2 linked regions of the Tamandua tetradactyla genome follow. Each later gene encodes a partner of the first gene's protein in a complex. Links are inferred from orthologs where the notes say so. Each region holds a gene or a part of one and is shown on either strand. Other genes may lie near its edges. The genes, in order: pleckstrin homology domain-containing family M member 1 and MAP1LC3C.

Region 1 (16,531 bases):
GGTTCCAGTTTCTCTACAGTCTCACCAATACCTACCCACTAAATATTGTGTAGGGTATAGAGGGATTAATAAGACATACATTTGAGGATCTCATACCCTCATGGAGTTAGTTCATGCTACCCCTTGTTAGCAGGCTTTGCAGGCCAAGGGCCATGTTCCTGGAGAGCTCTTGGGTGGATGGGAAAGGCAACACAAAGAAAAGGGCCTCTGCCTGAAAGCCAGCTGGTTAAATGTATGGAGCTGGACTCTCCATTGGTCAAAAGAGGGGAAAGCACATCTCTGACATCTGCAGTTCCTTTCAAGCAGAAAGTTCTCTGAATAGGGGAACAACACTGGGGAGGAAAGAAAAAACCTGCCTTCTCCCCCCAAAGCCATCTCAGGATTCTGCCAGGGGCTCAGCCCCAAACTTGCCCTGACCTCCTGACTCTAAGGGAACTGACAGCTTAGCCCACAGACTGCCCAAGAGAGCCCCGGGGCCCAGTTAGGATGCACACAGCAATCAGCGGAGGCTGAGTGGGCTCCAGTTGACTGGTTCAGATATATGTAAGATGCCAACTTACTTTTAAAATTATGAAAACGTAACAAACCAGTGCTTGGGAAGCTGTCTCAACCCAACTTACCGTATTGGCCAAACTGTGTGACCAAATCATGGCCTAAAGGCCAAGGGCTGAAAGTTTAAATGGAAACTCCTGATCTCTGGCTAACTTATCTTAAATCCCCACTGTTTTTTTGTAAATTGTCATTTGTTTTTAATCACCAAAAGGACGACTGAGAAAGGATAGGCTCTCCTCAGACCTACTTCTACTGTAACATTTTCCTCAACCTAAGCCCTCTCTTTTTGGATAGTGCCCATTCATTTCAAAGTTAGAAAAAACTGATAAAACAGTTGTCTCTCTACACCCCTTCTCCACCCTTAATCTTCCCTTGTCCACCTACCTGGATGGCAGCCTGGGGGTCCAGTCCATTCTCCACCACTGACAGCATTTCCACTTGTGCCGCAACTCCCGTGGAATCACACGTCACCTGTGAGACAGATGGAGGCCAGATGAGCAAGTTCTCAACTTAACTCTACCCAGTTCCTCCAGTAGGCAGTAGGATGTCAGCTGATCTCACTCAAACTGCAACCAAAGCTCTTCGGAATCCAAAAGTAAAACCTGGAAAGCGGGTTATAAAGAAGGAAGTAAAAAAGGAAAAAAAAAAAAAAAAATCAGAAGGCTCAGACCTCAGGAGGTGAGGAGTCCTATGATCCCGGGGTGGATCAGCCCCAAGGAGTGGGCGGTAAGGGCCCTTTACTCCAAATGCCAGTACAGAAAGCCAGGAACCTGTGGGATCAGGGTGTGGGAGTGGAAGGAATGGCTGATTTAGATACAGAGATGCTGCAGCTGAAAGATCCATAGGTACCAGGAAGCCGGGGCTGAGAATTCACATTCAGGTCCTGGTTCTGTATTAGGCCCTCTTACCCTAGTCCTGGTCTGCAGGTCAGCAGTGAAAAGAACAAATGAATTAGCTTCAAAAGGGGAAAGACTGCTGCTTTGCTACACTTCTGCTTCTCCTTGAGGCTATAAGGGTCTGCCTTGCAGAGCACAGGAGGATGCATCTAAAGAGACCAACAAAGGTTCTAATCTCCATTTCACCTCTAATTAGCTGGGCATGCTTAGACATTGTATCAGACTGTCAGAAAGAGACATGAACATATGTGAAGTACCCTGCACAGGTCCTGAAATGGACCAGGCACTCAGTAAATGCTATCTTTGATCCCAGTGGATATTGCCACCCACATACCAAATATACAAGCAATACTCAGTTAAATCTGTTTGTTTTTTTTAAGTGGGAAAATGCTTTTCTTTTCTATTGTTGAAGCCCTCACCTTCTCTTGGAGGTACAAGCATTGTTCTGAAAAGGAAGTAAAGGGAGGGCCCTCAGTTGGGATATGGGGGAGCCAGATCCCCAGGTCTAAGGGTAAAGCCATCCCCACCAGTGCAGCCTCAGGGCAGCTGGCTTCCTCCCTGGGGAACTGAATATTTGGTAGAGCCTCCACCTGACTGAGACTGAGAGGGCTGTTAGTTGGCCTATATAACCCCCAATAACTTGAACAGTTGTGTCTGTCTGATTGGGATTGGACAAGCCCATTCACATCTCAACAAATCTCCAGTGAACATAGTGCTGAGCATCAGGGAATACCTCCCCCTCACATCCTCACCCCCCTCCCCCCAAAAAAGATTATTTGCTGTTCTGACGTCAAAAAATCATGGCCCAACAGAGGTTAACAAAACCAAGGAAGGTTAAATGGGTTCTGTATCCTTTACGCATATTGCCTTACTCCTTCCTCATTAACCACATTAGGGGTGATAAGGAAATGGAAGCTGAGGGAGTCAAGGAACTTCCCAAGATTCCATAGCTACTAAGTGGCCTGCCTCTACCACCCACTCCTAGAGTGCCTACTCCAGCTCAAGGGAAAAGACTTCAGACACCTGAATGGGTACAATCACCTAAGTGAACAGGGAAAACTTTCTGGAAGAGGTGAGTATGAGCTAGGCTTGGGTAGGCAGGAAGGGGTGCACTTCAGCTGGGGGCCCAGGTGCACGGGCACATCGAGGCCAGTCTGGCAAGAAAGATTTATAAGAGAGCAGGGAGTGTGAGGTCTGGAAAGGACAGAAGCAGGGTGGTCCTAGAACTTGACGATGCTCTGATTCAATCCCTGGTGTCTGGAGTTGGTAGAAGGTAAACAGGACTCCTAAGTCAGACAAACAGAGGGAGGCAGGTATGTGTAGAGGAGCGCCTCTGCAGACCAGCTCTGGCCAGGACGTGACAGTTTGCCAGGAAAAGCATTTGCCATGGATGCAGCCCCTGTCTGACTGCCTCGCTCTTCACCATATTCTTTGCTCCCATCTACCTGGGGAATCTTAGGGCCTTCCCCTGGGAACCAGCTCATACTCAGGGACCGAGAAGACAAGGAAAGGTGTGCTGTGGTCAACCAGCACAGAGTCACCCCTGGAAATGTGTCTGATCCTGGAGCTTAGGTTCCTTCAAGGCTACCCAAATGTAGCCCAGGGAGATTGCCCAGCAGAGTCAAGGTTCTCTGGGCTCCAACACTCAGCAACTTCAGCCCTTCCAGACAGAGCCCTCAAGCTCTAAACTGCCCCTCCCTAGCCAGCCAGGCCAGGCCCCCAGGTCACGGATCTCAACAATCTAAATTAACAGCCTGGCTCCATTAAGGTCTAATTAGTTGAGAATAATTAAGTATTTATGGAGAGGGGGGTATGAGTAAGGGGGTGATCTTGCCAAGAAATCATTTGCCAAACCAAAGTACACTGAAGATAAGAGAGATTAGAGGAGGGCCAGACAAGTTACTGACTCCTAAACAAAGTGTCAAAAAAGCTACAAAATGACAACAGTTCAGAGGAATCCAGGAGAGCAGCCACTTGACAATCTGGAAAACAGGACCAAGACCTTGGGATTCAGGCCACAATTCAGGACATCTTTTTCCTTGTAGGAAGCCAAAGTGCTTTACCTAGCCACGTCTGTTACATAATGCCTCCAGGAGGCAGACACCAACTCAAAGGCAGGAATTTGACAGTCTAGACCCAAGAAATCACTGTAGAATCAGAGAGGGCTATGGGCCTCTACCTGCTGGTCAGCACCCCATCATCCACCTGAGTGGCCCAGGCCCTAAATCTACCATTGTATGGAAATGGATTCATATTCAGTCCTCAAAACTTTCTTCTCTGACACCAAGATTCAAACCAAAGAGGTGTGGCTTCAAGGAAACCTATGCTGAAGGGAATAAGGGGAGAACTTGGGAAGTGATACCAAATGCCTCTCAGAAAGTCTACCACGGGAAAAGGTAAGTTCTGCCCTTTAGAAAGACACCACATTATGTGATACGGGGCTGCGTCTGCCCTTAAAGTATTGATTCTCCCTTACAGAGCTCTCCAGGGTGAATAAAACAAGCATTTCTAACCACATACTCTAACCTCATTTAATTCTTACAACAATCCTGTGGGAGAAGGATGCTTATTCCTGTTTTACAGTTGAGAAAAATGAGGCTTAGCAGAAACAGGCCTTAAGTAAGGGATAGAGTTCTCCAGAGTTCTCCAGTTCCCTCATTCCAACTCTATGCCTTTCAACCTGATCAAATTGTCTCAGGTTTTGGCTCAAGGAGTTATAGGCAAACTTAATACTTAAGAAGGTTTTAAGAGGTACTCAAAAGCCTCATTTTATCTGTGATCTAAAAGGCCTAAAACCAACTTGCCAATCAGATCTATAGCCCAGGTCCTTTCTACTAGACCCAAGTTTCAGAGCTGGCATTTCTTAAATGCCACAACATATAGTTAGGAAGGAATTATCCTGGTTGTTTTTCACTGGACTGCCTGGCCTTCTGTACATGTTCAATTTCTTTTCCTCTAGAAACCAGGGAAGAAAAAAAAATAGAATAGCTTAGATGAGACTTACATTAAAAGAAGAAATGGATAGCTAGCTTCACCGCTTTCAAATGGGTTTTCAAAACATTCAGCCCATGAGTAAACAGCAACATCTTCTCTTTAGAGACTCCTTAGCCATTCCCAACAGCCTTCCCTCTACTGGCAGAATCACACTGTGTACCTGTTTAGAACAGACTGCAATTTAAGCCACTCAGCTCCTGTACCAGTTGATGAGTCATATTTTTCAGTTGGAAAAGATGATCTTTCAGACATGTGAGTGCTGAATGAGTAAACAGCTGCTTCCTTCCACCTGAAGAAAACTGGATTTCTGGACAAGTGTCTTGTGAGAGGTGGGGGAGAGGAAGCCTTTGAAGCAATTAAATACCAGTTATTTAATTGGTTTGAAATAAGAGGGTTAGATACCAGTCAAGGGCTAACGGGCAAGGGCAGAACTGTGAAGTTGGTGAACACTCAGTATCTTTCTTTCCTTCCTCCTTTCTTCCATCCAATAACACCCATCGCCCCTGATATTCCTGTCCCATTTACCATAGGATTCTAGCTGGGACCAAATTCTGAATGAATGTAAATAGGAACTTTGCCTGATACGGTCATCATCGCATTTCCAGTGCCTCGAATGGTGTCTGGCACACTGTTGTGCTAAAAAAATACTTGCTGAGTGAACTATTGAATAAAATAAAAATAAGGCACAGGACAGGTATCATTGTCTCCATTTCATAGACTGTGGGAAGTTAAGGCATACAACTCATAAGTGATGGGGTGATTATGGAGCTCTTTCCTTTAAACTAAGCTCTTATCAGGATGAAAATCATTCACTATAACAGAGGGCTACTGAAGGTAGAACAGCATCCCCTTCTCAAAAGAATGAGACAATAATGGTGGAATGGCAAGCAAAGGCAATGTGTTCCTCTGGGGGCCTTTCAGCTTGCTACATGAGGAGGACCAACCCTTCTCAAGCTGGGTGACCAGAATGCAGAGGGAATGTGCACCAAGAAGCACTAGGAGACTGTAAATTCTGAAAACGGGGCCTGGGTGTCTCAAGAATAACCCTCTGCCTCAGTTACTATAAGATAACTTGGCTCCAGGCATTCATGGGTAACCTCAAACTGCCAAAATTCAATGACAGCACCTGTGTGTACAGGTGCTCTGTACACACCTAGGCCTCAGCTTCCCTAATATCCTTCGCAACATGTAACATCATCTCTGGCACCCATCACCTACCCTGTGTTCAGTGTTGGGACAGATCTGGCAATCAGCCCTCGTAGGAAGGAGCTTTGAGGGAGGGTCCCTTACAAATGCGAGGACAAGGTACATGGACATGGTTCTGTCATCATGGCCAACCCCACACAGTGACACTCCCTGATGTTCTCCAGGGTCAGAACACAAGCCAAGATGAAGTGAGGGCTCCAAATGACCTCAGCTGGATGAACTGGATGAGTGACCATCCCTCACCTCCTAAGTATTTGGATGATGCCCTACCATTCCAGCAGCCAGGACAAGTAATTTAATATGAATGCTAGAAACACAATTCCTGAGGACAGGTACAGGGGATCAGATACCCAGGGAAAGCCCTGACCCGAGAAAGAAAGAGAGAGAGAGGGAGAGAGAGAAGTACCCCAGTATTTCTCAACACTTATTTACCATCAGAGACTTTGCACACACCCAATTAAGCTGCTCAGTGGTTAACCGCCTGGCTCTCAAGCAAGCACCCAGATTTGGAGGGTGAGAAGCAACTGGTGGGGTTGGCAGGGTGCTCTGCACCAAGTGTTCAGGATGAATGGGAACTGGGGTCAAAAGAAGAATGAGTATGAAGAGTTGGGGTGAGGCAGCAGAGGTGAAAGGACACAGAGATCTTATACTTGAGAAGACTGGGTGAAGGTTGGTAGGAACTGGGCAGCAAGAAGTAGGCACAGTTAAGCAAAGATTTAAGGATGGGGTGTCCACAAGATGGCAGGGAGTGGAAAGATGATTGGAGTTACAGAATGGAGTACATATGTAGTGGGCTAGGAAGTTATGGGCTGAGTTTGTGAGAAGATACATGTAAGACCAAAGGTAAGGCTGGGATCAAGACTTATCAAAGAAGAAAGGGGTAAACTAAACAGGACACCTACTTTGGTGGGAGGTCTTAAATGAGAGTGGGACCGAGGGAGGTGTTTGAGATGAGCAGACCTGGGGGTGGGGTGGGAGACTGGGCTAAAAAGGTTGAGCCAAAAAACGGGAAACCAGAATGGTGGGTTCGGGGAAGTTTCAGCGGAGCATTAGGATTGTCATGGGGGTTGAGGGTAGAGGATGATTCGTGCTATGGGGAGGTAAAAGGATGTGGTTGAGATTGGGGTTGCGACTGGACTAAGTGGGATCAGGGGTGAAGCTGCATTTACGCATGAGGAGAGGTGAGGCGGTAGGGGTAAGGGCTGGAGTCAGGTCATGGGAGAAGGTGGAAGGGACGACCCAGCAGTGACAGGGTCGAAGGCTGGGGTGGGAGTGGGTTTAGGGAAGGACGTGAAGTTTGGGCCGGGAAGGGTTGGGGTGTTTCGAAGCCGGACCGTTTCAAGGCAGCCAGGGGTTTAGGATCACGGAAAGGGCTGCCCATCGCGCGTCCACGTCTCAGCCCCGCCGCCCCTCCGCTGTCCTCCTCGCCGCCTGACCCCTGACTCACCAAAGGGAGCGGGCAAGAGGGCAGGGAACACTGCCGGCCGCGGCAGCCCCTTTGCCTCCGACCGGAAGCTACGACCTCTTGGCCACTGACAACAGGAAACAGGGCCGGCGGCGCCTGACGCCATCACGTTCACTTTGCGCTCCGGCCCCGCCCTCGGCACGTGCAGCCAATCGCGAGGCCCGAAGGAGCCGCGGGGTGGGGTTAGCCCGGGAGCCAAGGCCCCGACGCAGCCTGGGTCTGGGAGGCCTGCGAGCCGGCGGCGGGGTGTAGCGTGCAGAGGCTGGGATCCCACCGCGGGGCAGAACGCGTCCGCCCCGCCCGCCTCCCGCAGGGTCTGCCTCAGACGAGCTCCTGACCGCTCCCGGCTTCAGCCTAACTTTAGAGCCAACTCTTCACCTCCCTCAGCCGGAGGCTGCCCACCTGTAAAAGGAGATTGGTAGAGCCTGCTCTATTGTGCCTCCCCGAGGGCATCAGTGCAGCCCGGCGGGCGGAGCCGGGGCCCAGGCTGGGGCCTCGCGCCTGGCGGCTTGCAGGAAAAACATCCATGTTTGACCACACTTTATACCGGGAGAGCGCCTCGAGGTCCCCCCGGGCGACGGGGAACCCATCATCCTGCGCGGCATGTAAAGCTCAAGGGACCACTTGTTGTCATCTAGCCGAGTAATTTGTTTTCTTATCGTAAACCGTGACGTTTCTAATTCAGGGCAAGAGGTGTCAGCAGGTGCCATGCTTTTAGGCACCCTTCACATGCGTCTAAGAGGGCCCGAGTGTCGCGTGGGTCGGGACGGTGGGAGGTGCCGCTACATGCAGGTCCTAAGTATGTACAGGGGTGGCCGGGGAACAGCTCAGTTTTTGGAAGCAAGCTCTGCTGACCTCGGCGGGGAGTCTTGTGCTCCATTGGCCTCTCCTGGGAAGGTCAGGGTCCCAGCAGCAGCTTTAGTAATTCTCTTCCAGAAGTGACGATTATCTGTCCTAGGTTTTAAGTTGGACAGATCAGAGTGTGTTCAGGAGACTTTATGGTCAATCTTGGAGCAGGAAGATTACAGATGAGGACAGAGACAAGTTAAACTCATTTTAAGCAAGGTAGGAAGGGATATACTGAGAAAGTCTAGTTAATTGGCAAAGAGATAGCGTTTCTGGCCATTACTGTCACTTTGGAGTCTAGGGAATCCCTGAAGTTGTTCACTGGGGGACCTGATGAGAGCACTGGGGGCTTGGTACAAGCATACCCCTCCCTCCCCACTCGAGCACATACTATCCTGCAGTTGTTCCATGGAATTTTCCCCACACCTGCTCTCTGCAGGAGCTGTGGGAACCGGGGAGAAATCTCTCCTCTGCCTTTTTAAGAGCCCCCTCTCCTGGTCTTCTCTTACCTCCCCACCTCTCCACAAAATCTGCTAGCTTTGCTTCTCTTCTTGTCTTGTTATACCCCTTTTGGGACCACTTACCACTTTGGGAAGCTGACTAAAGCAATGCATCCTGGGGCGGGGGCTGCTATGGGGCCAGACAGGAGAGCCTGGAGGAGGCCACTTTTGAACCAAGCCTTCCCAGGTGAGTAGGGGGAAAGGTACTGCAGGTGAAGGGACAGGGAAAGTGCACCAAGAGGTGAAGAGAAGACTAAGAAGTCAGAGAAGGAAAGCAATTAAGGAGAGGGAGTCAGAATAAAGGGGAGATAGAGAAAACACTGGACAAGGGAGAAAGGGAGGATATACAGGCCAAGTTGGAGGCCAGTGCTGGAAGGGCTCCTCACATCCCACTGGCCCATCAGTTTAGATTTAAAGTCCATCCAGAATTAGAAACCCAGGAGTCAGACTTCCCTGGAAATAAATCCTAAATGCAGATTCCTGTGCCCCACCCTGGACCTAAGGAGTCACTCTAGAGTGGGGTTCAAGAATTTGGGCTTCACCACATCTCACCCATCCCCTCCCCTTACCACTGTGGATCTGAAGCATAATTAAATGTGAGGAATCCTGCTGTTCTGAAGCTCCTTTCTGTTTTCAGTCTTCAAATCTGTCTTCCAGGCCTAGGAGATGTCTTTCAACCTATTTATGGAAAATGGAAGCCCCTACTCTTTGCCAGATAGGTGCAAACAGCAAACACCTGTTATTATCCCCGTTTTACAGATGAGGAAACAGGCTTAAGAGAAGTTAAGGAACTTGGTGACCTAAGGCCACACCACAAATGAGCCATAGAAACAGGATTCTAACCCAGGTCTTTTTATTCTAGTTCAAGAGGCAACAGAGTCTAGGGACTGAGCAAGGGCTGTTAAGGTTTGAATGCCACTCTGCTGTATCCCAACTGTTTGCTGGGCCTTCCCTAAAGCAGTGTGGAGCCCAGGACCATTAATGAAACTTAATGGTCCACAGCAGTTCCTTGCCCCTTTTGTCCCTGGCTCACTTTGGGACCTCCCAGGTCAGTCACACGGCTGAGATTTCCCCTCAGTGCTTCCTGGATTGGGGCCTTTATCTCCCGACTCCCTTCTCTTTTTTCTTGGTTTATCCCCTTTGCTAGAACACATCCTTAATTGACTCCCTTTCTAATATTAAAAAAAAAAGGTGAGGGTGGGGGGAGTTGTGAACTCCGTCATGATTGTAGTTGTATTTTTAGTATCCCTTAATTGAAAAAGATACATAAGAACCAAAAATCACCATGAACACACTACTGGCTTTCAAATGAATTTGTGCTTTACTTTTCACAATAGTATCTATTTATATGTGAAAAACTGAAGGATTAGCTCAATCTAACTTCAATCTTGGATCCTCCATCCCTTGCCCACTTCTGGTCACAGAACCTTCTCTTTACTTTTGGGATGAGCCTCCTCCACTCCCTGGGATTCTGCTGAGATTGGGTTACTGATTTAAGGCCCCCATCCCAGGGTTATCCCGTGGCCCAAGCAGGCCAATTAGAGTCCTTTGGAAGGCCTGCTTTTGTCTGAGAGCTTTGCTCTGCAACAGCATGAGACTGACATTCCTGATTACTGATGGCCCTGGAAAACACCAACCCAGATAAAAAAGATGGAAGAGGATGATGTCATTTGAGTCCAGAATACAGCCCAGCCTGGAACCCTTAGGCTTCCTGGTTATATGAACTGATATACCGCATGCCATTTTCTTGGTTTATTTATGCAATGCTTTGTTGAATTCCTCTCACTTGGAACAGAAAGGGCCCTCGCTGATCTATCATCCTTGTGAACTTGGACAAGTTATCTAGCCCCCTCCCCACCTCCCAGCCTAAGTTTCCTCATCTGTTAATTGCAGAGAATAAAATCTACCTCACAGGTAACTTATGAATGTATTTAATATAAGATTTAAGTGAAATGAGATGCATATGCCCTCTATACATGGTAGATATTAGTGAAAGAATACTATTTGCTCTGCGAACAGTGCCTGGTGCACAGGTGCCTGCAGGAACCGGCCCTCTAAGGAAACTGTGGTCACCGTTTGGACATCACTGCCCCACAAGTTGCCTTTTAAGTAGAGCAACTTGTGCTATCCTGCCCCCTTTTGGTTTTCCTGCCTCAACTGGCCTGGATTCAGGATGTTGCCAGGTAGGAACCGCAAACTCTACTACAGGAATTCTCAAACTGGCCCAGGAGGCAGGGTGCCCAGAGTTATGACACATTTTACAGAACACTTATTTCCCTTATAGAACTAGGAACAATCTTGCCAGCAGGAATTATGGCTGAAGCTTTTTTCATGCAAAATAAAATCAAAACCACCTGCACACATTTCTCAGGGGAAAAAAAAAGCTGTCAACCTGTGCATGACAGCTGGTTGAGTTTTTCTTTTATTAATCCAGTTTGCTACCTGTGAGCTCATAATAAGCAGAAAAATGGCAGCAGAAACTAAAAGTTTAAGCTGTGGAGGAAAAAATCAAATATGAAATCATGATGTCTCTTAATTTGTTTTAATTGCAAAGAGATCTCCTTGGGAACATTGCCTGGTATACAGTAACCCTGTATAAGAATGCCTAGGTTCTGATTCATTTTTTGAGTACTTAATGCAAACACATGGTATAAAATTCAAAAGGTACAAAGTGTTTACATTGCTGCAGCCCCACAGTCCCTCTCCCTGAAGGCCTCCACCATTACCAGTTTCTTGTGTGTCTTTTCAGAGGTCTTCTATAGCAGAATTGTCCAGTTGAACTTTCTGTGACGATGGAAATCTGCACTGTCCAATATGATGACCATTAGTTACAGGTAGCAATTGAGCACCTGAAATGTGGCTAGTGTGATTTAGGAGCTTACTTTACATTTTTATTTCATTGGTATTAAGTTTAAATAGCCACATGTGGTGAGTGGCTACTGTATTGGACCAAATAATTCTATACATATAATGGATAGCACATACCATAGTACATCTTCCTTTGTTCATTTAATACCTTTCTTGGAGATAGATTGTTCTATTTTGTCCCCTAAAAAAAACTGCTGCATACTATCCTCTTGAAGTCCACTAAGGCAATCCCTTAGCCATTACTTTTCTTTTTTTTTTTTTTGGCATGGGCAGGCTCCGGAAATCAAACCTGGATCTCTGGCATGGCAGGCAAGAACTCTGCCTGCTGAGCCACTGTGGCTCACCCCCTTAGCCATTACTTTTAACAGCAAGCTCTCAAATAGTCTACCTCTATCACAATCAAGACGCTTCACATCAACTTGAGTTTCTCAACCCCTCTGTTTTTATCAACTTGAGTCTGAGTTAGCTTAACTTTGAGTAGTCACTTACAGGGAATGGGGGAAACTATTTATCATGAATCAGTGCCCTAAAATACCCTTTCCACCCACGTGGCTCTGTGCCTGGAATTCAGTGGTGACATTCTTTAAAGTTAATTGTGGCTCTCTTTAACTGGTTCTCCTTTAAAGGGCAAAATCTCCTGGGAAAGGCAGATATTAAGGCAGAACATCTGGGGTTGATTTTGCTTTTGCCCTGATGACAGGGGCCCAGGGGCTTCGTGGAGCAGTGGGGGATCTGATGATGAATCTCACTATTCTTAAAAATTTCTTTAGGTTCCTGTGGGTCCCTGACTAAGTCTTGCCTCTCGACCGCCTTCCTCTTAGGGTATCTCAGGTGATGGGAATCTTTCTGGTTCCAAATGGCCTCTTGAGAAAGAAATGTCACTAATCTGTTTTGGTGCTTTAACTCTGCATAAGCTCTTCCTTCTGGAGGTCCATAGTGGAGGCAGTGGGTGCAGGATTGGGTGTCAGAGAGATCTGGGTGCAGATCCCTACTCATGGGATGGAGAAATAGCACTCTGCACTGACCTTAGGGAGTTGCCTGTATTTCGTAAGGAATCACATGGGGAGAAGGAAGAACGACCTACAGTGCACTCAGTAATTTTCCCTGAGTCATCACTAAGGGCAGGGCCTGTTACTAGGCATTGTGGGGAGTCAGGGGCTGTGTGGAGAGGAAGGAAATGTGATTCTTTTTTTTTTTACATGGGCAGGCACCGGGAATCGAACCCGGGTCCTCCGGCATGGCAGGCGACCATTCTTGCCTGCTGAGCCATCGTGGCCCACCCAGAGATGTGATTCTTGATGACCTAACAGAACTGTGCTTGAGTCTTCACGTGGATGGACTTAACATTTCGCTGTGCTTCATTTATAGGTAACCACTGGAAGAATGGGACTCCAAACCAGGGCAGTCACATGCTGGCATAGGTAGAATTATTGTCCCCAATTTTCCATCCTTCCCTGCATCTCCACTCTTGCCACAGTCTCATTGTGGTAAAGTGTTCTTTCCAATCCACTGGCTTTGGCCTTTGCCATGTGAATTGCCTTGGTCCACGGAATGGGTCGGAAACAAAAATGTGTCAGTTCTGAGCCTAAACTTTAAGAGGCCTTACAAGTTTCTATTATTAATTTTATGCTTCTGCCTTCATCGTGAGAAGAGCTGCTCCTGGGGAGTTGCTGTCTTTTCAGTCTGGGGCCCAGAAGGTGGAATAGAGCTGCCCCAGCTGGACTGTGGATCCATCCCAAGATGAGGAGCCAACCCAGACAGCACAGCATTAAAGCATGGCCGCACCAGTCAACCTAGAGACTCGTGAGAATTATTTTAAGCCACTAAATCTGGGAATGGTTTGTTACACAGCATTACTGTGGCAATAGCTAGCCAATGCATGTACCCACTCCTTTATTAGGTTATAGGTTCAGCTATTGCAATAGTGACCCAAAAGAACAGAGGCTTAAATAAGAGAAAAGTATATTGATCCCTCATGTAACGATCTGGTTAGGAAGTCCAGGGTTAGTTTGGTTGCTCATGTGTTAGAGAGCCAGAGATCCTTTATATTGATCACAGGTTTAAATCTTAATCTCCTTCTGTTCTGCAAGCCAAAACACTCCACAGTGTGGCGCCAAACTCTTTCCAGCATTACCCTCTGACATAAAAACCCTCAACTCGAACCACTCTTCCCACCTCTGGCTTCAGGGATTTTCCTCTTCTGGAACCTGTATGGTTCCCCTACCCCACTCCACCCCCGCCCTCCAGGTCTTAACCACAGCATCTCACTCCTATCAGGGCCTCTGTAGCCAGTACTGGTGGAGACTGGTACTTCCCAGGAAGAGACCCTGACCCCTGTGGGGATGGGCAGCAGGCCAGCGGTCACTAAGTTGGGTTAAGCAGCCTTCATCAGACCTTAGTCGTCTCATCCTCACCATGCTTGGTCCTTCCTCTCTTTCAGCCCTAAAAAACCAAAGAACCTCTGCTTCCTCCACCTCCCTGCCCTCGCCATACTTCAAGAATTATCAAACTTCAGTGAGCTAAAAAGGCTTGTTTAAATGGGCCTCTCTGTCTGAGATTCTGGTGGGATGGACATGCAGGTTTGGAGGGGAGGTTTCTAGGAATCTTTTTTTTTTTTATTATTAATTAAAAAAAGAATTAACAAAACAATTAGAAATCATTCCAATCTACATGTACAATCAGTAATTCTTAATAACATCACATAATTGCATATTCATCATTTCTTAGTACATTTGCATCGATTTAGAAAAAGAAATAAAAAGACAACAGAATAAGAATTAAAACAATAGAAAGAAAAAAAAACAAAAACAAAAAACCTATACCTCACATGCAGCTTCATTCAGTGTTTTAACATAATTGCATTACAATTGGGTAGTATTGTGCTGTCCATTTCTGAGTTTTTATATCCAGTCCCGTTGTACAGTCTGTATCCCTTCAGCTCCAATTATTCCTTCTCTCTTTTTTTTTCTTTTTTTAATTAACGGAAAAAAAGAAATTAACCCAACATTTAGAGATCATACCATTCTACATATGCAATCAGTAATTCTTAACATCATCACATAGATGCATGATCATCATTTCTTAGTACATATGCATTGGTTTAGAAGAACTAGCAACATAACCGAAAAAGATATAGAATGTTAATATAGAGAAAAAATAAAAGTAATAATAGTAAAATCAAAACAAAACAAAACAAAACAAAACAAACACCTATATCTCAGATGCAGCTTCATTCAGTGTTTTAACATGATTACTTTACAATTAGGTATTATTGTGCTGTCCATTTTTGAGTTTTTGTATCTAGTCCTGTTACACCGTCTGTATCCCTTCAACTCAAATTGGCCATTATCTTACCCTGTTTCTACCTCCTGCTGGACTCTGTTATCAAGGACATATTCCAAATTTATTCTCGAATGTCTGTTCACATCAGTGGGACCATACAGTATTTGTCCTTTAGTTTTTGGCTAGACTCACTCAGCATAATGTTCTCTAGGTCCATCCATGTTATTACATGCTTCATAAGTTTATCCTGTCTTAAAGCTGCATAGTATTCCATCGTATGTATATACCACAGTTTGTTTAGCCACTCTTCTGTTGATGGAGATTTTGGCTGTTTCCATCTCTTTGCAATTGTAAATAACGCTGCTATAAACATTGGTGTGCAAATGTCCGTTTGTGTCTTTGCCCTTAAGTCCTTTGAGTATATTCCCAGCAATGGTATTGCTGGGTCGTATGGCAATTCTATATTCAGCTTTTTGAGGAACCGCCAAACTGCCTTCCACAGTGGTTGCACCATTTGACATTCCCACCAACAGTGGATAAGTGTGCCTCTTTCTCCGCATCCTCTCCAGCACTTGTCATTTTCTGTTTTGTTGATAATGGCCATTCTGGTGGGTGTGAGATGATATCTCATTGTGGTTTTGATTTGCATTTCTCTAATGGCCAGGGACATTGAGCATCTCTTCATGTGCCTTTTGGCCATTTGTATTTCCTCTTCTGATAGGTGTCTGTTCAAGTCTTTTTCCCATTTTGTAATTGGGTTGGCTGTCTTTTTGTTGTTGAGATGAACCATCTCTTTATAAATTCTGGATACTAGACCTTTATCTGATATATCATTTCCAAATATTGTCTCCCATTGTGAAGGCTGTCTTTCTACTTTCTTGATGAAGTTCTTTGATGCACAAAAGTGTTTAATTTTGAGGAGTTCCCATTTATTTATTTCCTTCTTCAGTGCTCTTGCTTTAGGTTTAAGGTCCATAAAACCGCCTCCAGTTGTAAGATCCATAAGATATCTCCCAACATTTTCCTCTGTTTTATGGTCTTAGACCTAATGTTTAGATCTTTGATCCATTTTGAGTTAACTTTTGTATAGGGTGTGAGAGATGGGTCTTCTTTCATTCTTTTGCATATGGATATCCAGTTCTCTAGGCACCATTTATTGAAGAGACTGCTCTGTCCCAGGTGAGTTGGCTTGACTGCCTTATCAAAGATCAAATGTCCATAGATGAGAGGGTCTATATCTGAGCACTCTATTCGATTCCATTGGTCGATATATCTATCTTTATGCCAATACCATGCTGTTTTGACCACTGTGGCTTCATAATATGCCTTAAAGTCAGGCAGCGCGAGACCTCCAGCTTCGTTTTTTTTCCTCAAGATGTTTTTAGCAATTCGGGGCACCCTGCCCTTCCAGATAAATTTGCTTATTGGTTTTTCTATTTCTGAAAAATAAGTTGTTGGGATTTTGATTGGTATTGCATTGAATCTGTAAATCAATTTAGGTAGGATTGACATCTTAACTATATTTAGTCTTCCAATCCATGAACACGGTATGCCCTTCCATCTATTTAGGTCTTCTGTGATTTCTTTTAGCAGTTTTTTGTAGTTTTCTTTATATAGGTTTTTTGTCTCTTTAGTTAAATTTATTCCTAGGTATTTTATTCTTTTAGTTGCAATTGTAAATGGGATTCGTTTCTTGATTTCCCCCTCAGCTTGTTCATTACTAGTGTATAGAAATGCTACAGATTTTTGAATGTTGATCTTGTAACCTGCTACTTTGCTGTACTCATTTATTAGCTCTAGTAGTTTTGTTGTGGATTTTTCCGGGTTTTCGACGTATAGTATCATATCGTCTGCAAACAGTGATAGTTTTACTTCTTCCTTTCCAATTTTGATGCCTTGTATTTCTTTTTCTTGTCTAATTG
Region 2 (16,512 bases), on another chromosome or scaffold:
ACCACCCTGGCCAGAGGGACAGAGGACTAGGGGAAGGCATGGAAGGAAGGGTGGACAGTGAGAAATTACTCATTTATTGGTGGAAATAAATCACAAAAAATGGGTCAGATGCAGCTGATGGAGAAGAAGCTAGGTTGTTTATTAGGAGTATGTGTAGATTAAATATGACCACGACTCCTTAGACATACCTCTTGAAAGGAGAAGCTTCAATTTTCCCATCCCTTCAATCTGGGCTTGACCAAAGAATGCAACAAAATGACACTGGGCAAGACCCAGAGCCTGGGAGAATACAGTTAGACTTGTATTTTCCCCATTGCCTTCCCTGGAACATGACCCTAAAATCACTGTATCTCAGGAGCTGGTTTAGCCTGTTGGAAGATGAGTGGCAATGAGGGTGGTCCCAAGACACAGGCCAACAGCCAGAATTCAGGGCCTCTTTCACCTGCCAGCTCAACATAGCTGCCTGCGTGAGCCCAGGTGAAAGCAGCTGAGGAACCTCGTCGCCAAGCCAGAATATCGTGAGAAAGAATAAATCCTGTTTTATGTCACTAAGTTTATGTCACTTGGGTTTCCGGCATGGCAGGTGAGAATTCTGTCACTGAGCCACCGTTGTTGTACCACCCTATGTCAGGGTATTCCCTGGGCATCCTCTCCTGAATCTTCCCACTTCTGTCCCTAAGTTTTCACCTGTCTCTTCTAGTCATTCCCGCCTCCACTCCAGTGGCAGATCAATACTTTCGTATTGTTTGTTTGTTTGTTTTCGATCAATACTTTTTATCTTTGTCATTTTTAGTGTGTAATAATTTAAGATAATGTAATCTTTCCATTGTTCAGCAGAAATTGGCCCAGGTTATTTTCATGGAGACGGTGAAGAAATGATCAAAGTAAAAGGAAAATGGATGTAAAAGGGGAGGAATCATCAGGGACAATTGTTCTCTGAGCTAGGGGGCCAGTCCATATCAATAGGGACCCAGGGTCTGGAAGAAAGAATGAAAGAAAGAAGATGACAATAAATATTTGCTAAAACTTTAATTTATGCCCATTGAAAATATCCTGCTCCAATCAGAAAAGCCAAAAGCATGGAAGGAAATAGCGTCAATAAAAATATTGGAAACTGAAAAACATAGTTCACTTTCTTACACAATTTGCAGGCTCTTCCTCCAGATCACAAAGAACTGACTTCTTCTCATGGTATGGACTCAGATCAAAAGCCACCTCCTCCAAGAAGCCTTCCCTGACCATCGAGGTAGAGTCTTCTTCACTGTCTCTGCTCCCAACTCTGTTTTATTGTTTCTTTACATTATTACTAGTCTCTGTATTTTCATTCTTTCCTCACTGGAGCCAGTTCCATGAGACTGGGCCCTTCTCTGTCTTGTTTACTGCTGTAGCTCTTGCCTGGCACACAACAGATGTGTAATAAATCTTTACTGGCTGTAAGTGAAAACAAAAACAACAAAAAAGAATTTCTTCTCATGAAAACTCTTTTCCTTCTCCAAACCCAACTCAAACTGCACTCCTCTGTGTGTCTTTCCTGAGTGAACCCTCCGAACACAGTGGTACTCTGCCTTCTTTGGGCTCTCCTCTTCTTGGCATAGAACTAGTTCTATTTTTAATATAATTCTTAAAATATAACATTTTTTACTAGAGGAGTTGTAGGTTTATAGAAAAATCATGCAGAAAATACAGAGTTCCCATATACCTCGGCATTAACAGCTTGCATTAGTGTGGTTCCTTGTTACAACTGATAAAAGAATATTATTATAATTGTACCGTTAATTATGGTTCGTAGTTTACATTAGGGTTTACTGTTTGTGTTGTAAAGTCCCATGTGCTTTTTTTTAATTCCAATAACATATATTCAACCTAAAGTCTCCCTTGAACCACATTCAAACATATAATTCAGTGCAGAGTTGTGTTCACAATATTGTGCCACCATCATTACCATCCATTACCAAAATGTTTCCATCACCCCAAACAGAAACTCTGTACCAATCAAGCATTAACTCTCCATCCCCTCTCCCTACCTTGGCCCCTGGTAGCCTATATTCTAGTCTCTGACTCTATGAATTTGCTTATTCTAATTATTTCCTATCAGTGAAATCATGTCCTTTGCACAAAACTAGATTTACATGTCCAAGCTTTACTGCAGTTATGTGTCTCCCTCTCTGTACTGGTTTGAATTTGTGCACCCCAGAAAATCCTTTAATCTTCATTCAGTATTGCTGGGTGGGAGTTTTAAAATTATCCATGGAGAGGTGACCCATCTAATTGTGGGTGGTAACTTTTGATTAGATGATTTCCATGGAGGTGTGTCTCCACCCATTCAAAGCGGGATTTGCTTCCTGGAGCCCTTTAAGAGACAACCATTTTGGAAAGAGCTACAGACCCTGCGCAGCCAGAGACCTTCGGAGATGCAGAAGGAACACGTCCCAGGGGAGCTTCATGAACCAAGAAGCCTAGAGAGAAAGCTAGCAGACACCACCATGCTCGCCATGTGCCTTTCCAGTTGAGAGAAAGACCCTGAACGTCATTGGCCTTCTTGAGCCAAGGTATCTTTCCCTGGATGCCTTAGATTGAACATTTCTATAGCCTTGCTTTAGTTGGGACATTTTCACAGTCTTAGAAATGTGGACTTGCAACTTAATAAATTCCTTTTAAAAGCCGTTCTGTTTCTGGTGTATTGAATTCTGGCAGCTAGCAAACTAGAACACTCTTTGTTTCCCATTGCGAATTGTTAAGCTAGTAACTCAGTTTCAATTCAAGCATATTCGGTTCCCACCAAGTGAAGAAACTTCTGCGTTAGAAAGGAAGACTAGCAAAGGGGTTTGGGGCTTGATTTCAAAATCTAGTTGGGACCTTGGGTGAGTTTCTTGACCTTTCATTGACCTAATTTTCTCATTTTAAAATGGGGATTATAGTACTTAACATATAGAAGAGTCATGAGGAATAAACACATGTAGAGTATTTGAATAAAGCCTGGTCTATAAAAAGAACTTAAATGCTGACTACTATTTTAAAGATTCTTATCTTAAAAAAAGACTATTAATTTAAATTATTTAAAATCAAGAAGTCATAATGCTGGCATAGACAAAAAAGAATATAATAGGAAATAACTGAGTGAGTACTATGGAAATGTAACAAGAGTCTCTTTAATGACACAGATAAGACCACACCCGGATAAGCTTTAATGTGGTTGCACTGTCTGCACCGGCTTCCAGAGAGACCACCGAGCAGGCATTCTCTGTACACTGACCCACAGAAGTGACACCTCCAGGAGACAGTGAACTCGGATTCCCCAAGGCTCTGCCCTACCTCCACCACCGAAGACGTTTTAAAGATAACTCCAGCGCATCATGCAACATCATCACACAAATCCACCATTGCTTATTCAGACAAAAAGAATCACCATTTACAAAATTTCCATGAGCAATGGGAGCTTCTTCCAGTGACAGGGCTCATGAAAAGAGAAACCAAGCCAGAAACGACCGGTGGCTTCAGTGTCGTTTGATGGGGCTGTCTCTCCAGGTCATACTCGTTTTCCTCGACCCTTCCACCGCACGCACAGGAACAGCCAGTCCCATCTGCATCAGTTAGAAGACAACTTCTTCTTGACCGGAGCCTGAGAGGCTGGCAGCCCTGTTCCCAAGAGGCGCCGGTCCCTGATGGCTGTCCACCCCAAGCCACCGAACATCTCCTGGGAGGCGTAGGTCATGTACACGAAGCCGTCCTTGTCCTTGTGGTCCCTGTAGATCTCGGCCATGGTCACACTCGTACTGACCAGGCTCCTATTGTTCACCAGCACGTAAAAGGCTTCAGTGGCCCTTAGGACCAGGCGGCTCCTGGGTTGGTGGGAGCAGGTGGGTAGGGGAGGGCACAGGTGTGGGGTGGGGAGATGGCAGAAAGGAAAGAAGTTAATCTGGCAGGGAATGGGCCTCTGATCTGAAGGTGTAGCTCAGTTTTTGTCCAATGTAAGCTTCTACCCAGATGCCCTCCCTTCCCCAATCTAGGGCTGTGGTCCTCACACTTTAGAATCATCCAGGAGAGACCTGTTGAAAATGCAGATTCCTGGGATCCAGTACCCCCCCCACCTCCCCCACCCCCTCCACCCCCACAGATTTAAATTGAATTGATCTGGGAAGCAGCCTAGGCATCTGTGTGATTGTGAAGTAAGTGCACCTCACGTTGAGAACCATTGCTCAAGAGACACAGGCAGCACCCCTGCTGCCCCACCGCTGCCTGAAGTCTCTCAAACTGCCATTTCTACCTATATGCCTGCCTGCACCATCCTTGCTGAAACGGTAGTTTATATCTGTCCACCACTTAACTTTCTTTTTTTTGTACTCAGTATGGTGGGGCCACAGTTCGTTCTTTTTCCATGTGAGTATCCCGTTATTGCAGCACCATTTGTTAAATTTTTTGTTTGTTTCTTTGTTTGCTTGGGAAGTGCCTGGTCCAGGAATTGAACCCAGGTCTCCCCATGGCAGGCGAGAATTCTACCACTGATCCACCTTTGCACCCCCCACCACTTAACTTTTTTAACAAAACCTCAGCCCTTGTCTCATTTGATTCCCTACTTTATAGATAAAAAAACCAAAGTGTAGAAAAAATTAAAGGACCTGCCTAAATGGCCTTCTCTGTAGTATTACTGGGGCAACAAAATAGTTATTAGAAATTGGCCAAAAGATTCACTATACTTCCCGGAAGATTTCAAATGCCCTGGGACTCTCAGTTGGGCCCGAAGTGCAAGGCCATGTCTTCATTTACTAGAAAAAATACATACAGGTTAAAAATGCTAAGCAAGGGCAGGCCATGGTGGCTCAGCAGGCAGAGTTCTCACCTGCCATGCTGGAGACCCGGGTTCGATTCCCGGTGCCTGCCCATGCAAAAGGAAAAAAAAAAAAAAAAAGCTAAGTAAGTAGGCCTCTGTTTGCTATGAATCTAAAGTGAAGAATTCTCCAGTAATGCCACATAACCTATCACTTAAACAGCTTCGGGGCAGGGGCGGGGGGCATTTAGAACAACTTCTCCCTTGGATTAAGGTGACAAAGGAGCAGCCACATTTGGTTGGGCATGCTAAGAGCTCTGAATCATTGTTTTGGCATCATGGCAAGTTACATCTATTGGTGATGGCTAAATGTCTCTTTTTCCACCCATCCTCCTCAACAGCCAACCCGCCTCACCCTACGTTGTTTAAGAGCCATGGCCGGTGCCCTCCTGGGCCCAGCTGAAAGGTGCCAGGCCAGTTACTTGATGCTGGCAGACCCAGAGACTGAGTCCTGACAATTGCATTGTCCTCCTGGGATGACCAAACATCTGTTCTGTAGAAAGGACAGAGCTGAAGAGGAGGTCGGCAGTTGGTTCTCAAAGGATACCCTTCTTGTCAAGAAATTTGACCTTCTTTTCCTTCCATCTCCTATTAGGTTATCCTTTTAACGTCGAGAGGTCCCCAAGAGGGAGAACTCTGTGGCTTAGAAGATGTTTAGGGCAGGAATTTTGTCTGTTTTGTTCACTGTCCCATACCCAGAGCATAGAATATAAATAGCCTGATATATAGTGCGTGCTGCGTGTCAACTATTTTTGAAGGAATTAAAGTAGAAATTTGAAATCTCTGGGATGGAGAATGGGGAGTGCGTGAAGACTGTAGGTGGCCCTACATGGAGGAAAGGGGGGAATGGTGCCCAACGATCTAATCCTGATTTTGGTTCTCCCATAGCTGCCTTCAGTTTCCACCAGATTCACCTAAACAACCCTTAGCAGATCTGAGGAAAACTCTGGGCGTTCTAAAAGAGCTCATAAAAAAATCATAGTAAGTGCTCTGGAGAAAATGCCTGCATCAGCTAAAACCTCCGAGAGGTTATTTCCGCCTCAGGGAGACACACACACACCAGCCATGCTGACGGCCGCCCCCCTCCCCCCCACCAGTCAACGGGCTTTAGTTCCAAATCGTATTTATTGAGTCTAGCTGACAGGCACCAACTGAAATCCCATAAGTTTTATGTTTAAAATCAGCAACATTTCCTTTGCTTTGCCCTTCCTTCTCCTGAGAGGGAGAAAGCCGTGCAGGAGCAGAAGGTACTTGCTTCCTGTGCTCGGTGATCCTAGCAGATGCACAAAACCCAACCCCTCACTGCCATCAGGGGAGCAAAGAAAGAGAACTAATGAGGGCAAAATGCTGACTGCTGGGCCCCCAAAATACCTGACAACGGAGGGTTTCTTCAACTAGTTTCAGAAACAAGTCTCCTTTGAAAAGTCATTAGAGACATTTGAAGGTAGCAATTAAAATAGGGTCTCAGTAAAAGTTGAAATAAAAGAGAAAACAGCTCTTACGTCAACACTGGGACCTCTCACTGAGGGTTATTAGCAAGGTATTTCTTTTCTGTTTAAAATAGGGGATGCATGAGCTCGCCTTGTTTTGCAGGGGGTGGGCACGGTGCATGGTTTGTGAATCGATCCCAGATCTCCTGCATGTAAGGTGAGCATTCTACCAGTGAACCACCCGTTCACCCAAGCTCACCCTTTTTAAAAGTATAATTAAAGGAAAAGGTGAAGCAGAACTCTTTCCTGTCTCCCTCTGCCAGACCCCCACTCTCCCCAAAGCCCAGAGACATCCACAGCTGCCACCTCCCGCAGGATTCATCACCTACCGAAGGACGCTGAGGAACTGAGTCACGGTCAGCTCCTGTGGGACCAGGAACTTGGTTTTGTCCAGGAGGGGCAGGAACTTCTCCCTGGGATAGCGCTCCACTACCACCTGTCAAATGTCTCAGCATGAATCTTTCCTGAAACAAGTGCCTAAGACTGTGACTCAGTGTTCTTAGGAACTTGGAACAGAGAGAAGGAGGTTGTTGAGTGGTTTTTGTTTTTACAAAGAACAGAATCACAGGCCCCCCTACCACCCCACTCCCACCCCCAGGAAAACACGAGTCTTACCGGAATCTTGCTTGGGAACTTTGCCCGGATTCCAGCAACTTCCTCTCTTCTGGTTGCTGTGAAAATTGTAAGTGCAAAGGAATATATAAGCATGTAAGAGAAGTCTGCATTTTAAAAATTTTCCCTTTCTTAAGATTTGGAATCTAAAAAGACACCCCCAGAACTTTACCTAAGCTCTTCCTCTGCTTGAAAGGTCTGGGGCTTGGGCTTTTCTGTGGAGGCTGCATTTTTACAGCTGTGTCTGTCTGATTAAAAAAAGAAAAGAAAGAAAGAAAAGAAAAGCCCAGGACCAGGACCTAACTCATTCCTCTAGCTGCTTCCAAACTGCCTGCAGGAACCTGAGGAAGCCCTTACATAGGGCTGTGTGATATCAGACTTCTCCTTCCCTCCCCTTTTCCCACCCCCTATCCAGGCAGGAGGGAGGTAGGTTCTGAGGATGGAAATGGAATTTGCATGCTTGTTAGTCAGAGAAAGTCACTTTGCTCATAACTAATTAAGAATTTGTCTTTACTAAGGAAATCAAGGTTTACAACGTAGTGCATTGGTCCTGGATAGAAATAGCCTTAAGTAAGGACATTTATTATTGTTGTTATTATTTTTTTATTAAACTTTTTAGTGAGTTAAGCCTTTGTGATACTGTGATGCAAAGAATGTACTTTGCATATGGAAAGAATACTTCTTTTGGGGTTCCAAAGGGTGGAGTGTGCTGGTTTGAATCTGTTATGTGCCGCCCAAAAACCTACGTTCCTTTAATCCATTCTTGTGGGGACAGAACTATTGTGGGTAGGACCTTTTGGTTAGGCTGTTTCCATGGCAAGTGTGGACATTTAACACTAAAGCAATGAAGGTAATCTAAGATTCTTCCACCTTACCCTGAAATGTGCTGCTGTTTTTCACAGTAAAAAATAGATACTCATAAATGTTGAGTGATCTGCCCAAGGTCGCACAAATAAGAAGATGTGAAATTAGGGTTGAGATCTAATGTGTGTCAAAGTAATATTCCCCTCTGCAATTGCCCAACATATTTTGTCATATTTCTGCAGTTCCAAGAATGTGAGCAGGACAGTTATCATATTAAGATCTCGCCTTTAAAAAATAGATGCAACCACGAGCCACAAAAATGAACTTATTTACCTGGGATTAAACAGATAGTTAAAGACAGTTCTGCTTGCCGTCCAGGATGCTTTCCATGAGATCATTCTTTTAAATGGAAATTATGGTTTTAGGGACCCAGCTTCCCCTTCTGGAAAATGATATTGCTATCGAAGCTGATCACCCACTCACTTCACATCCAAGAGCACAGTGGTCCCTTCGTATTTCCAGGCCCAGCCCCATCCTGAATGGAGAATAGACTGAACCATTTGCATCTCCTCCATTGTTGGTTGTGCTCCTGAGAAGTCATTGGCCTTCGCTGGGACCATTCCAGACCGAGTCATCTGACACTGAAAGAGTCTTCAGACTGATGATGATACAGAAGGAAATGATCAAACATTCTCCAGACTGGCTGAGTGACAGAACAAAAAAGAAGTAGGCTATTACTGTTGTTTACACAACTATTTAAGTCTCTATTTTTTAAGTTTTGCCTTTCCTTCTGCCAACAAAGCCGGAGTAATGGTTGCCAAGCCCACCCTGAGGCCTTGAGTGAGACAATGAGGAGAGAGAACTTGGTCTCAGCAGTCAGAAGGGTTTCTTAGCAGGCCTCCAGATTCTAAGGCCATTTCAGCATAGTCGTGTCCTTCCTTGACTCTGTCTAGGCCCTGTGGAGTGAGTTGGGGAAGTAAGTTGAGTTGTTTTATTGTATTTACTCAAAATATTTTTATTGAGAAATCTTCACCCATCACAACATCCATCCAAAGTATACCATCAGGGGTCACAATATCATCACATGGTTGTGTATTTATCACCATGATCATTTTTAGATAATTTGCAACACTCCAGAAAAATAAAGAGAAAAAAGAAAAAAACTCAGACATATCATACTCCTAACCCCGCTCTCTCATTGATCGTTAGTATTTCCATCTACCAATTTATTTGACCTTTCATCCCCCATATTGATTATTTATTTCTTATCTATATTATTTTACTCATCTGTCCATACCCTTGATAAAGGGAGTGTTAGCTATAATGTTTTCAAAATCACACAGTCACATTGTAAGAGTTATATCATTATACAATCTTCTTCAAGAATTAAGGCTACTGGAACACAGTTCACACTTTCAGGTACTTCCCTCTAGCCACTCCAATACACCATACACTAAAAAGGGATATCTATATAATGTATAAAAATAACCTCCAGGATAACCTCTTGACTCTGAAATCTCTCAGCCACTGAAACTTTATTTTGTTTCATATCTCTCTTCCCCCTTTGGTCCAGAAGGCTTTCTCAATTCCATGATGACAGGTCCTGCCTCATCCCCAGGACTCATGTCCCACATTGCCAGGGAGATTTACACCCCTGGGAGTCATGTCGCACATAGTGGGGAGGGCAGTGAGTTCATCTGCGGAGTTGGCTTAGAGAGAAAGGCCATATCTGAGTAACAAAAGAGGTCTCTGGGGGACTGTTAGACATAGTTATAATTAGCTTAAGCTCTCCTTTGGAGAAATAATTTTTATAGGGTCAAAGCCCAAGATCGAAGGCTCAGCCTATTAAATTGGTAGTCCTCAATGCTTGCAAGGATATCAGGAATTCCCCAGGTGGAGAAGTTTAATATTTCCTCCTTTCTCCCCAGCTCCCCAAGGGGGCTTTGCAAATACTTTTTTATTCTCTGCCAAATTACTCTGGGATGTATTGGTAGATCGCACTGTTCTTTACAAACCAACAAGCTCTCATGCCCTATTCAAGATTCCATGTAATTGTGGTGTTTGAATGCACAAGTTAAATTAGATACTGTGTGACAGAAAATATAAACCTCTTCCTTCTCTTTCTTTTGTCTCACACAGAAGTTGAGGTTTTAATATATAAACCATATCATCCTTTACCCTGCACTCTGATGTACCTTAGTCCTATCCAGGTCAGCTTCACTCATATTTCTAGTTGAAGTCTGATCACTTTTTCAACAGTTTCTGTGTGGGATAATGCTGACTTTCATAGCTTCAGGGCTCTCTGAGACTCAGTTGTCACACAAATACCCAAAGTTCCAGGTAATGACCAGGTTATATACAGAGAGTTCAGCATCTTAGAATTCAGAAATAACAGTTACAACTCTGGAATAGATGTGACTGCTATAAGAACTTACAATTTAGGAACCTTTATAATAGGTCTTAACCTGATGCCCTATGCTCTTGATTTCATTTCTCTGAGTTTGTATATTATAGTTAGTTCATATGAGTGAGGTATAATAATATTTATCTTTTCGTTTCTGACATTTCATTCAACATACTGTCCTTAAGGGTCATTCACCTAGTTGCATGCCTCACACCTTCATTCCTTCTTGCAGCTCTCAGTAGTCTGTTGTCATTGTATTATACAACATAGTTTCCCCTTCCATTCCTCAGTCATTGTACTCTTAGGCCAGCTCCATTCATTGCGAGTCATGAACAGGAACACTGCCGCCATAAACACCAGTGTGCAAATGTCCATTCCTGTCCGCACACTCAGTTCCTCCAGGTATATACTGAGCAATGGGGTTTCAGCATCCTATGGCAATGACACCCCTAGTCTCCTGTGGAATCACCACACTCCCCTCCAGGGGGCTGCACCTCTCAGATCCCTACAGACAGTGAATAGATCCATCTCTTTCTCCACATGTTCTCCAGCACTTGTTTCTCTCTGTTCATTTTTAAACAGTTTTATTCACATATCGTACAATCCAACCGAAATAAAAAATCAGTGGTTCCTGGTATAATCACAGGGCCATGCCCTCACCACCATAGTCTATATGAGGACATTTCCTTTTCTTCTGCAAAGAATTCCATGCCCCTCCCAGAGCTGAGTCGATTATACAGCTCTACACCACGCAGTCAGCTTGTCTGGGTGCTGGAACCCAGGAAGGGCCCGGGCAAGTCTTCCGTAAAGATGCATGGCTTGGGGGTCCCTTTCTTTTCCCTTTTTGGACCTCTTAACTCTTTCCTATTCATACTCACCCAGTTTATCATTTAATCCTTTAAAAAGCTCTGAGTTCTCCTAATGTCATTGTGATTGCTCAAGAAGAGTGAATCCTACATTTTTCATATCTACATCATGAAATTTTCCTTCCAAGGTTTTATGTCTTTTATTTGAGAAAAATAATGATCACTGCCATTTAATAACTATTAGTTAGGATGGACGAAGCTATGCTAATGCGAGAAATATACCCCAAACTCAGTTGCTAAACATAAAGCTTTATTCTCATCCTCATAATGGCCCAATGCAAACAGGAAGATTCTCTTGTTTGGTTCTACTCCAAAAGAAATTCAGGCATACGTGCTGTTTCAGATGCGCTATTCTGTTTATTTCAAAGTCCTTTGTTTCCAGCATGTCAGATGTGAAAATGGGCGGCAAAGGCATGCTTGCTCTTAATTGCCTCCGACTTAAAAGTGCTTAGAGTGACAGCTAACTTCCACTCTCCTGCCACTGATGTACCTTAAACATAGGAATAGTTTGGGGGAGGTGTGAAATAAGGAAGCAAAGATAATTTCCCAGGCAACTCCTACAGTCTTTATTGGTTTCACATTTAAAATCCACCCCTCAAGCACACGCACAAAGTGTAGGCACTAGAATTAGACTGTTCAGGTTTGAACTCTGGTTCTATCACCTACTAGCTAAGTGAACTTTGGCCCATTGATACACTCTTCTCTCTACCAGTTACCTCATGTGTAGAATGAAAAAACGAAATGAAACAAAACAAAAAACTACCTTAGTGGGCTGCTGCATCCAGTGGGTTTGTTAATATATGTAAAAAAAAATTTACAACAGTGCGTGGGGCACATACCACCCTATAAGTGTAAGTTATTATTTCTACCATTTTGTTGGTGAAGAACTTGAGGTTCAAAGAGGTTCCCTAGAGCCTTTGGACAAGACAAGGTTGTTGGTTTTCAAGCTGCCATGAAAGTCTAAGGTTGAACTGGACAAAAGACTTAACTTATTAACATTGCCATTATTATTATCCTTCATTGGAAAAAAGGGAGGAATTATTAAGTGTGCTTGACACCATGTTAAATACTATACATATTTTCCGAATTATTCCTTCTGAGCTTGGAGATGCAAAATAACATGCTCTGGATCCCACAGCTGGTGTGATTTGAACTCATGTCTATACAACACCAAAAGCTATGTTTATTCCATTATAACTTAATGTGTTCCATTCTTGACTTTTAAATTAATAAATTGCGGGGGGAACCTTGTAATCTTAGGGAGAATATTTTCTGAGATTTCTCTAGCAGTCTCTTTACCTCAACAATTCTTAAATGACCAGATCCTCTGTCGCACCCACTGTTTGGATCTTCAGAGTTCATTTCAAAGTGGAAATCGTTCCCTCTAATCCCTCCAAACCTGAAGCCTAATTGCCCACTTCCCAAATGTCATCACAGAATGACTTTTTTAGAAATAAAACCATAGCATCCCAGAGTGAAGGTGAGCGCGCCACCCCCAGCTCCTTTGGGTTGCCAAGTTAAAGGATTTAAGTGCCTGCCTCAGAACTCCCACCGTCAGCTGTCATAAGCCCCAGCTCTCCTGTTATGAGTCAACTTTGGCAGTGTTTGTATCTTATCCATGGGGATTAAAAAGCATGTTCTGACATTGAGGCTGTTCATGGGCTTGTACTAATCCCTTAGACACAGGAAGGTAGGAAGGGAAAAAAGTAAACCTAATGCGGACCTGAAAAACATTGGTAAACTGGTTAGAGAAGGTAGCAAGCTTTGGTGGAATTAGTTGCAAAGGGAGTTCCAAGCCCATTTTCCTAAAACACTGAGAAAGTTCTTGCTTTTCAGCATCTATTACATTAATTAGAATGTGCTCCTGAAAACACCTGGCCCTTGGCCCTGTGGGCCCTTAGAAAATGGCATTTTTAGAATATTTGAGGCTGGGAGGAGGATATGGCACAGATCAGCCACTGTGACCTGATGTTCTGGGACCTTGGGAATTTACCCAACCTGATTTCCCAGCCATCTGACCTCACCCAGAGAGGCTCACAACGTAGATATTAGTTGCATTACCTATCTATTCTTGCATAACAAATCATTCCTAAACTCAGCAGCTTAAAACAACAACAAACATTATTTCATGGGTTGTGTGGCAAGCAATTCAGGAGCAGCTTAGCTGGTTCTGGCTCGGAGTCTTTAATGAGCTTTTAGTTAAGATGTTGGCTGGGGCTGCTTCCAAAACAGCTCCCTCCTGTGGCTGACAGGTTAACCTACTCTCTCTGGGGAGGCAGCGTGTGATCATTCCTTGTTTCCATCTTCTCTGCAGTAACTGGGCCATTTGTCTCTAAGTCTGATCCAATCTAAGTTAAGACCATGCTTGGTAAATGCCTTTAACAGTGAGGGGAATCCTAGAATGATAAATATCACAAAATGGAATAAACCTTAACACTTCCAAGAAAGGCTGCCAACCTTCCCCACTTCTAATCTCTTTTCTGTGTCCTGACCGTATATATTTTTGTGACTAGTGAAATTACTAAAACATTACTATTTTGGGTTAATAAATTAGCTTTAAAATCTGAATCGCTATGAAAAAAAGTCTGGCTTTAAACACTTTTTTCAAAATACTGTACTGAAATAGTCAATGAAGCACTGACAATAGAAAATAATTTAAATGTCATCAGTTAAGAGTTAATTATGACATGCGTTATATAGAACTAAAGGTAGTGGTTAAAGCTTTTTAATGTATATTGACAGGAAGATTGCAAAATTATGCGATTATAAAAATTAGTGCAGAACTCATGTTTTTAAAAAGTCACAGAAAAAGCGGCATAGAAAAGACATATTCATCAAATTGATAATATGGAAGGGTACTAGGATTAGGGTACTAACAAGTGTTTTGAAATTCATCTGTAATGCTGGAATATTTAAGTGAGAATATATTGTGTTCTACTTGTACAATTAAAAGAAATAAAAATATTGTATAAGAAAGCATTTTTATAGACTCAAAGGTGCTTGGATTTTATTTCCTCCCTCCCAAAATTAAGTGATGTGGAGGAGCTGCCCTCTTGTGGAACTTTTGAAATAGTCTTTAAATGGTTACCCATCAATCAAAAAGATTACTGTGTGTTTGATTCTCAGAATTTTGATGTTGCAATTTCAGAAATTTCAACCCCTCATGTTTAACTGTGAAAAACAAAGGCGTGAACAGTTCAGTGGTTCACCTGAGGTCACTCAGAATTTCAGACAAGTCTTCTGATTCCTATCTGGAGTTCTTTCAACTTCTTCTGCCTCCCTGAAACAACGATCAGCAAGTGTTAAACACCAATGTGTTTAGGGAGAGATTTAGTGGATGGGAAACGTCAGTATAGAGAAACCGGAAGAGTCAAATGAAAATGCTAGACATAAAAAACAGAGAGATGAAGAATGGCTCATGATCTCATCACTAGACTTAAGACAGTCAAGGAAAGAATCAGCAAACTTGAAGATGAGTTAATAGAAATTACCCAAACTGTAAAACAGAAAAAAGGAACAGGGGTAAACATAACAGCATCCGAGAACTGCGGGACGAACTCAAACTGTCCAACACATGTAACTGGAATTCCAGAAAGAGAAGAATGGGACTGAAATGGGACTGGGACTCATACTGTTTGTTATAGAGTGTCACTTCTTCCTTTTTTTAAGCAGTCTTACCTTTCCCTCAGTTGCGCTTCATGTCTTTTAAGATCAGAGCCCATCTGGTGTCAATTGTCGAGAGACAATTGTCCAAAACTTCGTCTTTGACTGGGGAGGAAGGTTGTTGCCTGATTTTGTGTATGAGGATTGAGATTTGTAGTATCTACTGTGTTTCATTTATTCTAAGGTACTCATTTGAACATTGAGAAAAAAATAGGGTGTCTTACTGTTGATGGCATGTCAATATAATGGATGTTTCTTCTTTTTTCCAATGGTTCATAAAGTAATGATGTATTTTACAATCAATAGCATCTTCAGTTTGATGAACTACTAGCATTTAAAAAAATTATTGTAAAACCACACAAAACAGCTATATGGCTTGTTATTATAAGGCTGACCCCTTGCCTTTTAAAATAAGATGGCTTAGTTACTAAAGGCAAACACCCCATAAGCCACTCAAGTAATAAAATTTTGTCAGCCAGTCCTAGAAAGCCCATCATTTGTCCTCCCTCTTTTAGAATATCCTGAATTTTATAGCAATCACTCCTTTGAATATCTTCAATACTTTATAACCAGAATGTGCATCCCTAAGTACTCTAGTATCTTACTCTACTTAACCTGCTCTTCCTCTACCTCTATTTTCTCTCCTGCTCAATTTTGATAAAACCAAAATTTCTCTTCCATGGGGGACCCTTTCCAGGAATGGAGACTTGTCTGTTCAGTTTCAGTAGTTCATAAGTACTAGATTATTTAAGTCCCGCATACACCCACGTTGGAAATGAGTGAAACCTTTCCCAATCCCAAATACTGTTAAATAGGCCCGCTTTAGTTATTTCTCAGGCCCATCAGATGCTCTGTTGCCTCTACTTCTCAATAGATGCCAATTTCATGTAGGTTATGGACTATAGTGGGTTTGTATTCATTCACTTGTATTTTGGGATTTGAGGACATCAAGTCACCTAAATTTGTTTTAAATGTTCTCTGTATTTGGTTTGCTATCCAGCTGCTTTTATGTGGGGATTTGGAGATTGAAAAATTATGGCATTACTGTCATCTTCCCAATCTCCCATATTAAAGTTTTCATCCAATCCTATTTTCAATCTTACCCTGAACCTGACTTCAAGGGACTTGTATGATGTCTCTATTCACTGAGCACAACACTTCTTTGCTAAATCACTTTTATCATTCAGCCATCCATTTTCCAAGCCCCTGCGAGATGTCTCCTCTCCCATTCTGTAAAAACTTTGTGGGATTATAGTTTTATTCTTTGTGTCATTAAGTGGAATTTCACATTCTTAATTTCTATTATAACACAAACCATGCACAGCGAATTAAAATTGCATAGCTTTTGATCTTTAGAACAGTCTTCCAGACTGGTTTTATTTATTTTTATTTCTTATTTTTTGCATGGGCAGGCACCGGGAAACGAACCCAGTTCTCTAGCATAGCAGGCGAGAACTCTGCCTGCTGAACCACCGTGGCCTGCCCCAGACTGTTTTTAAAACTTATGTCTTTTACCAGTTTTTACAGTTTTATGTTCCATTCTTATCAGCTTAACCAAGAGTCCTCTATTAAATCTTATTAAAAACTAAAATTTCTCTGGGTCTCCTTCTTCCATCTTCTGTATCTGTTACTTTTACAGTTCCTTTATTTCCTGTACTTTCAGATCTTTACTTGTGTAGCTAGTTCTCTTTCCAGGCATATTTCTTTGCAGAGTGTATATTTCATAGACCCCACAGCTTTAGCATCCTATGTAGCCTTAAGGGCACTTAGTTTTAAATATGTATTAAGGAGTTTTTAGCTCATACTTCAAAAAAGACATATTAAGAAAAATGGGGGCAATTTTAAAGC

The links.
Region 2: the proteins of pleckstrin homology domain-containing family M member 1 (region 1) and MAP1LC3C are in contact, whole or in part, in a crystal structure (PDB 5DPW), measured with the Homo sapiens proteins. The link is inferred for Tamandua tetradactyla from reciprocal best matches to the Homo sapiens genes PLEKHM1 and MAP1LC3C. Residues at the interface, in NP_055613.1 of Homo sapiens: Glu632, Asp633, Glu634, Trp635, Val636, Asn637, Val638, Gln639, Tyr640; in NP_001004343.1 of Homo sapiens: Phe13, Arg16, Lys17, Glu25, Ile29, Phe33, Lys36, Pro38, Asp54, Lys55, Thr56, Lys57, Phe58, Leu59, Val60, Pro61, Glu63, Leu64, Ile72, Arg76, Phe114.

The regions. Positions count from the first base shown.
Region 1 is NC_135332.1:18,426,800-18,443,330, forward strand, and holds the start of pleckstrin homology domain-containing family M member 1, read right to left. Parts: upstream 7,209-16,531; 5' UTR 7,096-7,208; intron 6,443-7,095; exon of another isoform or gene 4,453-6,442; intron 1,024-4,452; 5' UTR 985-1,023; coding exon 937-984; intron 1-936. UniProt on the Homo sapiens protein: Acts as a multivalent adapter protein that regulates Rab7-dependent and HOPS complex-dependent fusion events in the endolysosomal system and couples autophagic and the endocytic trafficking pathways.
Region 2 is NC_135333.1:13,050,736-13,067,247, reverse strand, and holds MAP1LC3C (microtubule-associated protein 1 light chain 3 gamma), read right to left. Parts: upstream 7,250-16,512; 5' UTR 7,158-7,249; coding exon 7,100-7,157; intron 6,987-7,099; coding exon 6,931-6,986; intron 6,752-6,930; coding exon 6,645-6,751; intron 3,840-6,644; coding exon 3,587-3,839; 3' UTR 2,995-3,586; downstream 1-2,994.